Linked DNA regions of Caenorhabditis elegans. The protein of the gene in region 1 interacts with the protein of each later gene in a pairwise test. Each region holds a gene or a part of one and is shown on either strand. Other genes may lie near its edges.

Region 1 (6,262 bases):
TCGTTATAATTGCGACTTTTTAGAAATCATTGACAGAACTGAAGATCTTACGATTTATTCTGAAGGATTGCGTGAGTTTTTCGATAATTGTTGCGTCATCTGAAAACTGAAAGATTAAGGCTTAATAATGATAGTTGATCTGCTCGATGGTGATCGTGATCGATACTTTGTCGCTCTGGAGCAGTTGGAAGAAGCTGTAGCATATGAAAAAATAATTGTTGGTCTGAAAAGCTATTCTCGTGGACATGGCGAAGCTGCATCGAATTTTCTCACTAAGCTGGCGGATCTCCATAACAAAATGCCAAAAATCACCGTTGTCGTAAATGTCGACCGAAGCGAGGATATCGAGAAAATTGTTAATGAATCAATAATCTAAAATTATAATTGCACACTGTTATTATGATCTCAATTCTGTGTTTTTACAACGTTTTTTTTATATTTTTCCTTTTTATTACCGTACGGTGTTTCAAAAAATTAACGAGATGCAAAAAGTAATAAAAAAAAAGTCAACAACAAAATAACGAGAACAATAAAAAGGTGTGGTATTTAGAGATGTATAGGACGAATCCCTCAAAACAAATAAAATCAACAAAAATTAATTCGTATACCTTGCATTCTCACTTCTTGACATTTCCGTCGAGCTGTGCCTTCAGAAGATTTGCTCCTTTTGAGTTATAGCCATCCAAGTGTTTTCTGCTGATCGAAGCCTTCAATTTTTCAATAACTTTCGGTCCTCCAACTTGAAGCATTTTCAAGAGAACATGGCAACCGCGATTGCAAGTCACCCACGAGCCAAGCTGCTTGCTCGTAAGTCCTTCTGCCAATGCAACTGACAAACGTTCATCTTCTTGTAGAGCGGCATCACAGCGCATGACTGCCATGAGAATGAAATTGCCCGATTGGTGTTCAATAATGTGGAAGCCTTCCTGGTCCATTGGTACAAAGTCCTTCTTCGCCAATTCAACGATCGCTTGGTTGCAACTCTTGCGAGCTTCTGCTGGGACTTGTCGATCGAACAAATCGAAGCTTGCTGAAAAAAACTCGAATTCTTTATAATTGTGCAACTTTTAAACTTACAGGTGGTTTCGAGACATGCAGCCACGAATTTTGACTTGTTGGCCTCGAAAACAAGCTCTTCGAAGTTAGCAGCCAAATAAGGATACAAGTTCTCGGTAATACCGGCGTACAACTGTCCATATCTATCCTTTTGAGTTTTCTTCGAGTGTGGATTGCTATCACCTTCGGCAAGGAATGTAATTTCTCTTTTGTCGATTCCTCTTCCATCTCTTGGATGCACCAAATAGTGGATAACTTTCTCTCCCCAATCATCTTCGATCAACTTCTTCATTTCATTTGCCAACTCGGAGACAATAACCTTATTGAGAAGAACAGTATCGTCGACAGTATCAAAAAGTGCAAGAAGAACACGATGTCCGTAATGTTCCATTGCGGCTTTTACTGACAAATCCTTGAAATTCTTGACGATCAATTTTCTTTCCTTGACTGGAGCAAACCAAATGAGTTTAATAGCCAATTTGGCACCATCTGGAGTATGAATGAACTCGGGAATTTTATCTTTCAGTGAATCAAGGAGATTGATTTTCTTTTCCTCGTCGCAATTATCGAAAAAGTCGAGCATAAGTTTGTGCAGAATTGAAAGTCGCAAAGTTTCTTTTTCATTCACTGCTCCAATAACCTCGTCCAAATGCTTCAAAATCACAACCTTCTTTTCCGGCTTTTCAGCGAGAATCTCCGTCAGAGATCTGATATTGTCTTCCTGAAATCAACAAACTATTTTTAGAGCTTAATTGAATGTTGTTTACTCTGAACAAAATGAATTCTTTTCCATAAAATTCAGTAATGATGTTGTAACGCTGATGGGCATTAGCGAAGTCATTGTAAGCATATTCAAGAACTTCGGCAGCATGTTTGATTCTGAGCAGGGTTGGAGCATGTCCGCGGAATGCATTAATGATAATATCACGTTGTTCTTTAGTTCCATTCTTCAACATTTTCTTGACGAAAAATTTGGAATAGACGTTCTTTGACATCCTCACTATTTCTGGGGTTAATTCGTTGAACACTGCAATAATTATGTTCTCGTAATTATTCATGGGAACCTTCAAAAAACTTACAGTTGTTAATGATTCCTTCTCTTTCAGTGGCAACAAGACATTCGATAACTCTGCTGGTGTCGTGAGCATAGATCAGCTTGGCAGCGTGTCCTTTTACAAGACCATACAACTCGTGAACCGCAGTATCCTTTTCAGCTTTTGGCGTCTTTCCCATTCTGATCTTTTCCCAAAGTTCCTTGCATTTTTGAGCACGAGCTCCTTCAGGTTTTCTCTTCAATTTCAACTCCTTCAAAAATGCTTTTCTTTCTTTTCTCGGCATATTCAGCAATTGTTCTTTAACAGACTTTGTGACTTGAATAGCTACTCTCTTTCTCTTTAGAGTTGGAATGTCAATATGAGATTCATCTCCACCTGCTTGTTCGTCGACAGATTCCAAATTTTCATCGTCTGCTGGCTCAGAAGCAACGGCTTTCTCTGCATTAACCTTCACTTTTTTCTTTGGGGGAGCGGAATGCTCTTCTTCTTCTTCCTGAGCAACTTTGACAGTCTTCACTTTGGCAAGTTTCTGAAAAAAAACAATTGTGTAAAAGACGATATATTGAATTAACAAACCTTAACCTTCTTATCAAGAGGGGATCTGAGAATTCCTCTTCCTGGAGATGCCTCTGATGGTTTGATTTGAAGATCCTGAACTCGCTTATCGAAAACCTTAACATGTTCAAGTTCTCCTGAGAAAAGCACTTTTTTCGATTTCTTTTTCGGTGCTGGCTGGCTTCCGAACGAAGACTCCGAGCACAAAGAGTCACGAGTCCCATCATTATCAAAAACTGATGTTGAAGATGACTTTTTCAACCTTTCCAACTCGTCCTTCACAGCTTTGTCTACTTTGCTTTTTAACGCTGCTTTTTCTTCAATCTGAAATATTTCACAAAAAATTATTTACAAAATGAAGTAATTTAACAAACCTTAACAATTCGCTTTCTGTCTACTTTGTTGAGTTTTAATCCTTTTGCCTTTTTCTCCAACACATTTTTAACCTTCTTCTTCCCTTTGAATTTTTTATTTTTGTCGTCGAGTTTCACCATTTTTACCCGCGAGATTTCTCTGAAAGACACGCATATTAAAAGGAGTAATAAACACAAGACAATTTTATGTGAGGTTTAAGCGATTTTTACTTTGGAAACAAATTGCACAGCTTCAAAATAGTAACAAAAAGTTACGAAAAAGTAAAGAAAAATGAAAAGAAAATGTTAAAGGCGCATGTTGTCTTCTGACGTCTCTCAATTTACACACTCTCTTCTTCGTCGTTGCGAGACCTGCCGCAATGTTCGTCTCTCCCGTAAATCGACATTGGAAAATCATCATTTGAAATTTTATTTCCATTTAGCTGCCATTTTCAGATTATCAGCTTTTATTTTCGCAATAATTCTACTATTTTTAACGCATTCAAATAAACGAATTATTAAATATTAAATTTTAACGGTTCTTCTGATTTCCGCAGAAATAAAACACGTACCAGTTGCAATCATATATGTGTTAACATAGTTTTTATTTTGCAGAATGAGTTCAATCGGTACCGGCTACGATCTCGCCGCCTCTACTTTTTCTCCTGATGGCAGAATTTTCCAAGGTTTGTTTCGATTTTGCTTTGTTCAAAATACTCATAATCTCGTTTTCAGTCGAGTACGCTCAAAAGGCTGTCGACAATGCAGGAACAATGATTGCAATTCGTGGCAAGAACGGAGTTGTGGTCGTTGCTGACAAGCTGATCTCTTCCAAACTTTACACTGATGTGAGTAATTTAAGAGATTTTCAAGATTTTATCTATAATTTTCAGAACGCTAATCCAAGAATGTTTAACGTGAACGACAATGTTGGTGTCGCAGTTGCTGGAAACTATCCAGATGGTTTCGCTCTGAAGAACTATGCTTACGGAGAAGCAATGAAGTGGCTCAAAGACTACCGTGAGCCAATGCCGATTCAGAATATTGCTAACTCAGTTGCTGAGTACATTCACATTCACACTCTCGGCATTAGTCGTCCGTTTGGAGCAGGAGCCTTCTTCATGTCATGGAACAAACAAACTGGAGGACGTCTTTTCCTTGTGGAGCCATCAGGTCTAAACTATGAATACAAGGCATGGGCTGTCGGAAAACATCGCCAAGCCGCAAAAGCTGAGATTGAGAAGCTGAAGATCGAGGAGCTGGATGTGAATCAACTCGTGAAGGAAGCTGCTCGAATCATTATGGTGGTGCGTGACGAGAACAAGGATAAAAACGTTCAAATCGAAATGGGATGGGTCGGTGAGCAGACGAACGGAAAGTACGAAGAAGTTCCAAGCGAGGTTGTCACTGCTGCCGAGGAATGGGCTATTGCCAAGCTTGACGAGGACGACATGGACGATTGAATCATTCTCGTGTATTTATTCACATTTTTAATTTATTATCAGCTCTCTTCTTTCTGCCCTGGTAAACTTCTTGCGCTCGGCGAGTCATTTTATTGTACTTCAAACCGACTCACCGACTTCAAGAAGAACTTTTTGCACCCGGATGTTTTTTTTTAACTTTTTCTGTTCATTATTTTTCGGTTTCCCGGTATTACCCATTTTTCTCAATACAAATTCAGACAAACCAGAAACATGTTTATGCACAATTCGCTGGGGGCAGTAGACCCGTCCCAAATTATGGCGCTATGTACAAACAAGGATAACAACAATTTTTTAAGTTATGCGGCAACTGCTTGAACTGCTTCCTCGATCATCACACTTTGACCAGTCTTCTGTTTCTCCAAGCACTCAAATACAGAATCTCGAAGATGTCTGTATGTTCTCGTAAGCTCTCCCATTCCAGTTTTCAATCCATTCGAGACGTAGGCAATCGTGATCCCATCTTCCAAATCCATCATTACTGTGCTGCCACCGTAACCAGGATGTCCAACAAGCCACTTTTTCTGAAAAAATAATTGATTTATTATTATATTTATTAAAACGATGCTCACCCCTCCCATTGGATGTCTCTCGTATAGGAAACCATGTCCTTTTGGTAGAGGAGTCATGACAACTTCATCAATCCCCTGAACTTGGGGGGCACGGAACTTTTCTAGAAGTTCAGTAGAGAACAGTTTTCCTTGTTGTACGAGTGAGAAAAGTCTAGCTAAATCTCTTGACTTTGTAATACCAAGAGCAGCGACTTGCTCCATAGCATGTAGAGTTGGATTATTAAAGGTGTTCACATCCTGTTCCAACTTGAACCACGTTGGATTTGCAGCAATCTTTCTTGCAATAGAATTTGGTGGTCGAAGATTAAAAACTGCAAGTACAATCAGAACACGTGGATCATGAACAATCTCCCGAACGAGATGAAGTGTGGACGGCATTGAAAGACGGGATACGGTATGCTCTTCGCTTGGCGGTAATCCAATATGAAAGTCGATTCCGTGAACATCGGCGACTTCTTCTTTGAAGAATCGTCCAACTGATCGACCTTTCGGATCGGAGCGTCGAACGATTTGATCAACGATCCATCCGTAAGTAATTGCATGATATCCAGATTTAGTTCCAGGTTCCCAGTTTGGTTTTTGTGATGCGATGACTTCACTCATTTTCTCGAAATCGTTGGCGTCTTCGATGGTTATTGGCATATCGAGTGCAGCAAGACCTGCCTGGAATTAAGAATTTACTTGAATGTGATTCAGCATGCGAATTTTTATAATTTATTATTGCATTGCGATTTTCTGGCGCCGCCTTTTTCCCATTGGGTCTCGCCACGATCTCAGTTACAGTAACCGCTACAGGCTCCAAATTTAACAAATTTTTTCGTTTCATATTGAAAATGTAGTTGATAAAGTTTCGAATTTTAAAGTGCACAGAGAAAACCAGGATTTACAATTGAAAATTTAGCACCTATTGTCTCGTTTCCACTAGAAAAGAGCTTTTAAAAAATGAGTTCCTTTGGAGTGAGCTCACAGTTTTCCATATATTATGGAGACGCAGAAAAATGCATGTTTTAAATCGAGGTGGAATTGCGCTCCAAGGCTAAATTATAACGCTCCTCTCCCAAAAGCTGGGTCTCGTTAGGCATTAGCGGCAAAACCTTAACTTCAAACGTTTCTAATTATTGATGCCGGCAATTCTTAGGCAGCGCTGCCTAAGAATTTTTTGGACCTCGAGTTAGATTTAGAAACCAAAA
Region 2 (10,031 bases), on another chromosome or scaffold:
GGTCGCGGCGCGAGGCAAGTGGAGGTTGCCTGAAAATTCTGATATTGATGGTACCTAACTTTGCTCTTTAAAAAAATATAATGAAGGTGTTGAAAATTTTGTTTCGTTTATAATTAACTTACATACGTACTAGCTAGTTCCACTATTGATTAGAAAAAAAATCGATAATTTTCAGCTCTTAAACCAAACGAAACTGGATGTATGATTGAAGATCAATGTAAACAAGCATGTGAGAGCACCATCTGTGACAGATCTCAATTTCCATCCCGATGTCTTTGTGAGAAAGGACGACATTTTTTATTCAACAAGTGTTGTGAGTTGGGAAATTGATTTTAAAGATCCCTTGCCAGAATTACAGTATCTAATATACAGTTATCTAAAATTTTGAGGTCAGCGCGGCAATTGCAAGTAACATAAATTTTCTACAATTTTGGAAATTGCCAAAATTGCATAAAAAATATATTTTCTTAAAAAATGCCCACAGCACAAAAAATTTAAACTTTGTAAGGGAGGTTTGAAAATTTTATCTTGAAACTAGTAATATAAGATTAAACCTTTTAAATTTCAAAGTATATTTAAGTTTTTTGAACTTGCGAACGTTAAAATGTCTCAAAATTGATTTTAGGAGGTGCCTTACTAAATTAAAATAGTAAAAAAATTATTCAAAGTTTCATTAATTTTTAAAAAACTATACAACATTTCCGGTCATCTTTCCATTTTTTTCCAGCAACATTTATCCTTAAAGATCCCAAAAAAATATTTTTCACAGGTAAAATTTCCGGGTTATCACTTCCCAATGCTCAACCAACAACCTGCTCTGTCAGATACAAAAGCTTTCAAAAGAGAAGATTAAAGTTGGGGAGGGCAAACGTCACAGATCAGAATTGTATTGGGTGGTAGATTAAGTGTATAGGTGCAGACGTTGTAATGCTATTATAAAGATCAGACATAGAATAGGTTTAAGGTACAAAAAGTGTAATGAAGGGATTATTCCCGTAACATTATTTCAGAGTATACAATTTTGCAACAAAATGTTTTCTAGGAATCCTCTCAAAGTGCCCGTAAAACGTCGGCTGCAACAAAAAACCCCCGCGATTTCAAAAATTTCATTCATTTTCCTGTCATTTGCGTAAAAAGCCGACAAACTTTAGGTAACCTTTCCCTGGCATTTCAACAAATATTATCAGCTGTCGTGAAAATTTCAGTGATCTTCTGCAGCTATAATTAATTCAATAGGTGATTTAGTATTCTTACCACATTTCTTTTTCACCTTAAAATAATTTCCAATTATCTTTGAACTAAAATTTATACTAGAAACTTGTGTTCAAAGTTGACGCTTTTGGCCAACCCGTGACGTCACACAGAACAGTTTGAGGCGAACCCTAACATTTTGAAAACTTTAATATTAAAAGGAAATAATGTCCCGATTGTTCTTGCACGGACGTTTCGCGGGTTCCGCGGTTCAACCAAGTTCAGCACAGTCCAGAACAGAAACTTTGCGCGTAAATTATGATACAGTAGGTCAATGCCCCTTAAAACGTGTGACGTCACACACTTCTATTTGAGGGGACACATGCCTTCTTCACTTCGAAAAACCTTCAAATTTCAGGGAAGAAGTGCCCAGACTTTGCTCATCCGGAGCCCATCATTGACGACCGTGGATTCAGCCGCTGCGAGCTGAAAACCGATCTGAAAACCGCGTTCCAGTACATGAGACGTAACAAACGACAAATGCGAAATAATTTTTGTTAAGCTTCAGACCTTTTTCTCCAGGAATTGCTCTCTAAACTTCAGTATACCCCTTCCCCACAGTATTCTTGTCCCTCTCTCTCCGGTGCTTTGTAATAAAATGAAACAATGTAAAAATATATAATTTATGGTTTTCTTTTTCTATACAATAATTTCAAGAAATATCAGTTAAAATAAATAAACTCTGAAAATTGAAACAAAACAAAATTGATATTCGGGGATTGGAATTCACACAAAAACTAGAGGCTTTTCATAAAATAAAAACCGAATGGGGGGACAAATTCTGAGAGATTTGAGGTTCAAGGAGCAAAAATTGTTGGGAAAGTACCGGTAACAAGTTATTTGAAATTTTTCTGGAAGTGATTTTTTGTTTGAGACAGTAGTGGGGAAACAAAATAAATTAGAAATCTTTGCGATATGCAATTCAATGGGGCTAGCGATTTTGAAAAATATATTAATTTTAAATTTTTAAAATTTTAAACATTTAAAAAATTTTAAAAGGCAGCCGGGCCCATTTGGAAGTTAAAAAGTGAACTTCCAGATGGGGCAACTGGGCTTCCACAAGCTGGCGGTGCATCCGTAGATCGTAATGGAGCACGTGTAAGATTGATAAGGAACATGAACTCTTCTGGAAGCTGGTGTGATGGATAGAGAATGTCCAGGGCCTGGAGTCCAAGAGCATGGAATACATCGAATTCTTGGGTCTGAAAATTGAATAGTTAGTGTTATACTAGACATCCTACTTGCATGTCAGTCTGGAATACTTGCTCTCAGTGCAACCCTCAATAAAAAATAAAAATTTTGCTTCCTGGCAGACATGGATTAGCATTAGAAGCGTGCAAATTTTGCCCTCAAAGCGTGTTACAAGGCTTCCCCGCTAGATTCTACGTCACACGTTGAAAATGACAAACTTACCAATCTAACGATCTTGGCCAATTTGTTCTGAGATCCGCTGCAATGATCCTTGAGAGCATTGATGATGGTACTTTGAACCTGGTCGACGAGAGGTTTGTTGGTCAATCCAAGTACGTTATGTTCTGAAAAAATTTTGAAATTATGAAATGAGGAGTAGATAAACTTTGCTGAAGCTTTTTAGGGTTTAAATTCTACACACCTGTGTTTCCAGCCAAAAATTGAAGAGCAATAAAGGCGGCGAATGCCTGAGGCTCCCAGTCAACCAATGAGCTGAAGGTTCGTGCTTTGTCAACCATGAATCGAATGATTTGTTGGAAGCAGGCAGGGAACGCGTTCAACGAGAAAAGCTCTCCAGACTCGAACATAATTGTGTCGGTGCTGTTGCCACATCGGTTTGCCACGCGGATTGCCATGATTGCGAAGAAAGATCTGCTGAGGAGGATCTGGAAGTCGGCTGGCTGAATCTCGGAAATTTGTGGCATTGCCATGAGAAGCTTCTTGGTGGCATGAAGCTCTCCGTGCAGGATTCTCAGTGCGATAGTCTCATCGAATGGTTGCATCTAAATGATAAACATTTTCCAAAAGAAATGCTAAATTTCCGACTTACAAATTGCCGGACAACAGTCATATTTGTATGATCTTCAATTGCTTTTCCCATCAAAGCTAGAAGAGGAAGCGGTGGAGATGGTTGATCCTCTGATCTTGCCAACTTCGTCTTTGACGACAAACGTCCACGTCTCCCCGATAGAGAACCATGTCGAACAACTGAAATATCACAAATAATGAACATTTCCCAAAGGGTACACCTACTTTCTTTGACCATGCCGACTTCCAAACACTTTTGATAGCGACAGTACTGGCACCGACTACGGTATCGCTTGTCGATTGGGCAGGTCTTGTTACCAGCGCAAGTGTATTTGGAGTTCTTCTGCACAGTTCGCTTGAAGAATCCTTTGCATCCTTCGCAAGTTCTGGCTCCATAGTGCAGGCAAACAGCTCGATCATTGCACACAGCGCACATTTTGTCAGCGTCAAGAGCTGTTTCCGATGGGACACCGAATGAGGTTGGTGTGGAGAGGTTGTCGGGGTTGAGGAAGGATCTGAAAGTTTTCTTTTTTTTTTAATTTCAAATTTAAAATATCAAATTTCAAATTTCAAAAACGAACCTTAAGAAGCCTTGCAACTGCGGGGGTGACGTTGGCAGAGAGCTTGAATGAGGCGATGGTGTTCCGCCGGTATTGTTCGACGAGCTCGTTGTCCCCTGACTTCCACGCCTGGAATCCGATACCGGAAAGTGTTGAGGATAGAATGGAGATGTGAATGAAGGCATCAAGGGATTCGGCATGAAATCATTCGAAAGTCTGTAAGAAGAAACAATAGAAATCCTCTCGTGGAAGCACCAGCTTATGCTCTCAATGGAGGTTAATCCTCGGCTCGATGTACTACGTAGAAAACACGAAGCAAAAGTAATTCACACGTGGTTATCTGTGACGACACTTACGCGAATGGATTGTAATGCGGTGCGGCGGTTGCCAGGAAAAGATCGTTGTGTGGCATTTGAAATGCTTGCATAGTTGGGTCAAGTTCACTTTTGATATGGGTGATTGAGGCGTTCATTTCGGATGGTAAACGGTGACTGGAGGAGGATGGTTTCTGAAATTATTAAAAGTTTATAATTGTGTGCAGAATGAAGCTCTTACCTGCTCGAATTCTTCGGGGATACTCTCGACTTCGGTTTTCGTGGGCTTTGGTACAGTGTTCACCTGATCGCTTGTCTCCTGCAAACTTTCAATTTCAGACTTTATAAAGCCCATAAGTCCGCTAAGATCATCTCCGAGCCTGACCACAGGCTTGTCAATTTTGCTAGCTGTCCGTTTGCTCATCATAACTGTAGGGTGCAGGGGGGAAGTAAGTATGAATATATGAAAAGTGCGCTTCTATCAAACAGCTGATTAGGCGGCTGCCCAGGAAAATTTCAAGGGGCGGAGTCCAGAGCCCTGAGCATTAGCTGCGACAAAAGAGCATACACGAGGAATTATGTCAGTCCACGCCCCGAGACCACCTAAGAGTGATGACGACGTCGCTGACAGAAGCCAAAAAAGAATGAGAGGTGACACTTTGAGGATATAATAGAAACAGGTTTCCCAGAGAGACCATCAAATCAAAATCGAAAGTAAAGAGTTTTCGAGATGGATGAAAGGAAGAAGAAAGACGACAAATTGCGGGGTGTTTCATGCCAAATTTTGGTGTGGACACAGAGGACTGAAGGGGGAGCCAAATGGCACGTGTATCTATCAATTAGCCGGATGATAGTGGGTGTATGTGTTTGAGCAAAACTGAAGGTTAAGCCAGCATTTAAATATTTTTCGGGTTTTCGGACTGTTTATGTGAGGAAGTTAAGAGTTTTTTTGGAGCAGAAAACAAGAAAAGAGCTATGAGAGCTAAACTTTTTGTACTCTTCTCTGGTCTAAAATGACGCAGAGCCTGTGGGCTGAAAATATTTGTTGTAGTCCTCGAAAAATTACCGCCTACATGGCTAAGCAAACTAGAAATAAAGAAATTATCTCGAGAGCTCCAAAAACGTTCTAAAGCCTTAAAAATGCAGGGCGATTTTATTGAGAAATGCTAAAAATGGGTCAAAAATATCAAAAATCATACTTGTTGAAAAGGCCATTTTCGAGCATTTTTTCCAATGGTTCAAGTGGGCAAAATCTGATTTTCAGATAAATCAATATGCATATATTCCTGATTTTGACAGTAATTTTCAATGAAAAGTTGGGTCTAAATTCAGAAACTCGGAGCCATTTTTGTGGGGGGCTACTCTAGTTTTTTTTTTGGGATTTTTGATACATTTTTTTACATTTCTAGACTCTCATAAATTTTGAGCAGTGGGAAAAATTAGAATTTTTTTAAAAAGTTTCTAGAATTCAAATTTTTTAGAGGTTGAAACATTGATTTTGAGTGAAAAAAAATAGTCGACTTCCAAAAACTTCTAAACAACTTGCCAAATTTTCTAAAATGGTCTACTTTTTACAGTAGCCAAAAAAGAAAGCAGCAACATCAAAAGAAACACTACTAATAAATGAATGACATTTTGGTACAAGTGACTTGTTAGCATTAGGGGTCCCACCCCTGCTGCTACTGTCTCTATGACTAATGGCAAATACCATTGCGCCAACACCCAAAAAAAAAGAAAGAGAAAGACTACTACTAGTTGGGTGGAAAAGTTGTAGAATGAATTTGAAACGAGAAATATTTCTCTCCAACCAACACCACTCGTGGCTCTCTCTACAAGTGATCTCACCTATCCAATTATCTTTCTAATAAGCGGGCACGAAATGTGTTGGGAAAGTGCAGGGTGATTCGACAGGAAACAATGACTGTGTTGAGAGGGGATGCCAAGTTTGAAATGAAGTGGGAAACGAGGAGTCGGGTGATATTATTCACATGTTCCCACTCACACCTTTTTTTACCGCCGGAAAAAAGTTCAAAAAAATTATAGCTCAGAAAAGGATTATACCAATTTTCTCCCACAGATTTGAAAAAAAAGGTTTCATGGGAATCTTAAAAAAGTTCTTGGAAAAAGAGCTCACCACAAGAGAATGGAAAAGGCTGTCGAGGTCGGCATCGGTGGTTTTGGAGCCTTTGCGAGACGAGGAAGATGGTCCAAACTCTCCTGAAACCAATAATTAGGAAGAAATGGAAATTTTGTGAATTACCGTAGTCGAATGATGAGGAGCACGAAGAGTTTTTCGACATCTCGCGGAAGAAGTCCCTTCGCAGAGGTTCTTCGTTACGCACGAGGCGTGTGTAGATTTCGATCTTAAAAAATAAAATTTAAATTAAAGTTTTTGCCAGATTTTGTAATATCTCATTTTCCGTTGTTTCTGGGCACATGATTTTTGAGTTTTCTGTTTTTTTGGGATTGTGCAATTTTTGTATTTTTTTTTCTATAATTCTTAAGCCCAAGCCTAATCCTAAGCCGAATCCTAAGCATAAGCCCAATCTTGTTTAGGCTTCCAGAAGATGAGAATAAGAATACTTACTTCGTCCTCCACGCTGGAGCAGGATGAGTAGCTACTATCGACAGAAGCTGGCGAGCAGTTGGAAAACTGAAAATTTACCACATATAGAATTTACCACATATCTTTTCCACCGAACTTTAACAGTTTTTCTGGTACACCTGCCAGTTCGCCTACTCAAAAAAAAAAAGAAATAGGTTAGGGTACCTGATCTTGCAACTCGTCCGTTTGAATACTAAGTTGTTCCATTCAGTCGGACAGACCGCGCATCCGATTAATGAGCGGTCGATATAAGGAGTTGTAAGATTTGAATGAAGAAAGATGAAGAAGAAGTGAGAGAAGAGCTCTAGTAGTGGTCAATCTGAAAATGTTCAGAATTTTAACGAATTTTCAGATTGGGTGAGTGGGAGAGAGAGAGAGACGATCGGGAATTATATAGTGTCAAACAATTGAGAAGGCGGAGTAGCAGCTCGTGGCGCGTCATCAGAAGCACCTAAAAATGCACATGTGCAGGTGATTTGACACTGTGACAACTGATCGAGCAGCAACACTAAAAAAGTCAACAACATGTGTTCTTGCCCGTCTTGAATGGAATATTCACCTGCCCGCGCCTTGATTATCTACGTAATTTCAGGAAAGGAATTTTGACGACACCACCGGGCCGGCTAAAATTAGAAGTGGTCACTCTAAAAGCAGAATCAGCCTTTTTTTCATTGTTTCCAATTCTGTGAGCTCAGAGTTTAGCGATCGAATCGCTTCGATATACTATGTAGGTCAGCTCTCAAAATCAATGAGGAGATCCCAATGTACAGGTGAGTGGTTACTGTAACAGTTAACTTCTATGCCTGCTGCCGTGCCTACAACTGACCTACGGCTACTGTTATCTGCATTAGGGGAGTTGAAGGCACGCAGGTAGGCATAGGTACTTGCAAACCCATCAGTTAGCATCTATGTCTAGAGCTAATTAATCTCTGAGCTAGTTTGTGACTTCATCACAGGTGCAAGATATTTTGTACGTAGACAATTTAAATCCAAAAATGCATGCAGAGTGGGAAGTGTGAAAAGGTCGGAAAATTGCGTCAGCTGCTGCTCTAGACAATGGAAAAAAAGGAAAAAATAGAAAGTATGTGCACCGGTGAAATTATTTAGTCATTTCAAGGGCATTTTCATGATAAGGAGAGTTGTTCGGTAAATTGGGTGCTACGCAAAAACTAATGCAAAAGTGAAAAATATTTTTTGCATAAATGATCTACAGAAAAATTATCTTTCCGGAACAGTCGGAACAATAAATTTCTACGACTAAATGAGCATTATTATATACCAGAAACCGTAAAGGGAACTTATGATATCACTTCCTCCCGCCCATCTCACGACACATCATAACTGATCTGAACAATGGATCATTTTCCGAAAAACATACAAACCTCCGGGGGGATGTTCTAATTGGTTTGTCTATCTAGTTCTAGCTCCTGTGAGTAACAAGGCGTATCAGAAAACATATTTGGAAAAATATGCTAAATAGTAGGAAGGAAGCTGTAAATTACAAGAAAAACGTACATGTTGAGAAAAAATTTTGCGGTTTGTGGGAGCATTAGGAAATCTTTCGCAATGCACTGTTGCATAAGACTGTAGATAAAATTTGAGTTAGGAAATTTTTTTCGAGGAATCGGTTTTTGAGAGAAATGAGGGGCGTTAATTCTAAAAAATGTCCTATTGCACCAGGTGCAATGAGACCAAAATATTTTGATTTGATTATTTGATTAATTTGAAAATAGCATTTATTTGAGCTAAAACATTTGAATAAATGCTCAAAATAGCCTAGAAGTTGTCAATTGCTAGACAATTCGATAATGGATGAATGGCAATTTCCAGGTTATTTTTGAGAATTTTCTAATATGTTTCAGCTAAAATATTTGTTATTTTCGAATAATCAGGTACATCATTTTCTATAGTTTACACTAATTTTAAACGAAAAAAGTTAGATGGGGCAATTTTGTAGACCTATCCTTTGCTCTCATACTTTTTGGAAGCAGGCTCGCTAACCCCCAAATGTATTATAAAATTAGAAATTTTTCGCCAAGAAGGTCAAGAAAAACTGACTCAAAATCTGAAAACCTCCGCTTTAAAACGGTTTTCGTCCCATTTCCCCACCCCTTTTACCTACGAAACAAATAAAATAAAGTGACGTGATGAAGTGCTTGTAAAAAGCAAGAAACCACTGATAAACGCTTGTACGGAGACGAATGATAACACGATCAAAGACACACAATGCACCGGGAGTCTGTAGATAGTTTACTCCAAAGCGTGAAGCTCTATCAGAGATCAAAGCCACTAGGTTCGAGAGACGGCGAAGGCGACGGTGCATGTGTCTCATAAGTGAGTAATAGCTCAGAACTAAGTCATTGTTCCAGCTCTAGTGACTAATTTTGATACTGTCCAGCACTCTGACGTAAACATCGCCCACACTCGGTGACGAAGTGCTTCTTATCAATGAAACTGAAGTATGTAGGAATCTACAGGAAACAGTTGACCCCCCCAATTCATATGTCATTGTGTAGTTTGAACTGGACTGTGGAAGGTGAGTTGAACGTTTTGATCTATTGATAAGAGATGAGTTATAGTTATAGACCTCCTGGGTGCAGCAAGTAGTCAACAACTTGTAAATCTTGGTTTGATCTACGAGAATTGTGGGAATCTCTAGAGTGTCACTTTTTTTTTTGAGAGAAAACACCGCATTTTTTGTAGATCAAACCGTAATGAGACAGCCTGACATCACGTGGTAAATTAGCTGCTAACTCGAATTAGAATTTAAAAATCAAAAAGAAGCATGCTAAATGAACGCACATCAGTGTTCCATGAATTACCGCAGGGCCCTATAGACTAGTAAAAACTATTTGTTAGATTATTTTCAGAATGCTAGGTCAAAACTTGGCCACACTGAAAGTGCGGCACTTTCGTGAAATTCCCTCCTATTTGGGCTTTCGTAAGGGGATTAAAACATCTAAAGAATTACACTACTAGTCTGCCTTTAATTTTAGCTGAGAAATCTATAACTTTAGTTTATACCTAGAATTTGGCACAAAACACACCTCAACTGAATGCATTCATCGAGACTGTTTCAAAACTACGTTTCATGACATCAAATGATCTTCCGAATTCGGAAACAATTACAATACTACTGATAAAGACTCACTGACCTTTTTTCGTTTTTCGGACAAAAATATCGAGTTTGAACGTGATAGGAGGAATGATGATTTTTATTTTGCATCACAAAAAAAGACGTCAGTGTTATTAATATCGCATACGTTTGGTTATACAGGTTGCTAGAAATTTGAAGGTCGCGGT

What was found.
Region 2: the proteins of pas-7 (region 1) and nhr-6 interact in a two-hybrid assay, tested with the Caenorhabditis elegans proteins (2 studies listed by BioGRID).

What each region holds. Positions count from the first base shown.
Region 1 is NC_003280.10:10,097,227-10,103,488, reverse strand, and holds pas-7 (Proteasome subunit alpha type-3), read left to right. Parts: upstream 1-3,634; 5' UTR 3,635-3,635; coding exon 3,636-3,705; intron 3,706-3,754; coding exon 3,755-3,867; intron 3,868-3,912; coding exon 3,913-4,482; 3' UTR 4,483-4,707; downstream 4,708-6,262. Other genes in the region: putative RING finger protein ZK945.4, read left to right, coding at 1-71, 120-376; puf-12 (Pumilio domain-containing protein 12), read right to left, coding at 618-1,030, 1,078-1,777, 1,824-2,083, 2,136-2,640, 2,688-2,990, 3,041-3,160; lact-2 (Beta-lactamase domain-containing protein 2), read right to left, coding at 4,800-5,024, 5,073-5,735.
Region 2 is NC_003281.10:3,570,603-3,580,633, reverse strand, and holds nhr-6 (Nuclear hormone receptor family member nhr-6), read right to left. Parts: upstream 7,054-10,031; 5' UTR 6,936-7,053; coding exon 6,894-6,935; intron 6,784-6,893; exon of another isoform or gene 6,777-6,783; coding exon 6,711-6,776; intron 6,487-6,710; coding exon 6,384-6,486; intron 6,341-6,383; coding exon 6,258-6,340; intron 4,443-6,257; coding exon 4,365-4,442; intron 4,318-4,364; coding exon 4,166-4,317; intron 4,026-4,165; coding exon 3,831-4,025; intron 3,765-3,830; coding exon 3,475-3,764; intron 3,430-3,474; coding exon 3,272-3,429; intron 3,225-3,271; coding exon 2,864-3,224; intron 2,787-2,863; coding exon 2,665-2,786; intron 2,454-2,664; coding exon 2,244-2,453; 3' UTR 1,863-2,243; downstream 1-1,862. Other genes in the region: C48D5.3 (TIL domain-containing protein), read left to right, coding at 176-313, 1,610-1,752. UniProt on the Caenorhabditis elegans protein: Transcriptional activator that induces gene expression by binding to the NGFI-B response element (NBRE) 5'-AAAGGTCA-3'. Required for proper morphogenesis of the spermatheca and the spermatheca-uterine valve formation.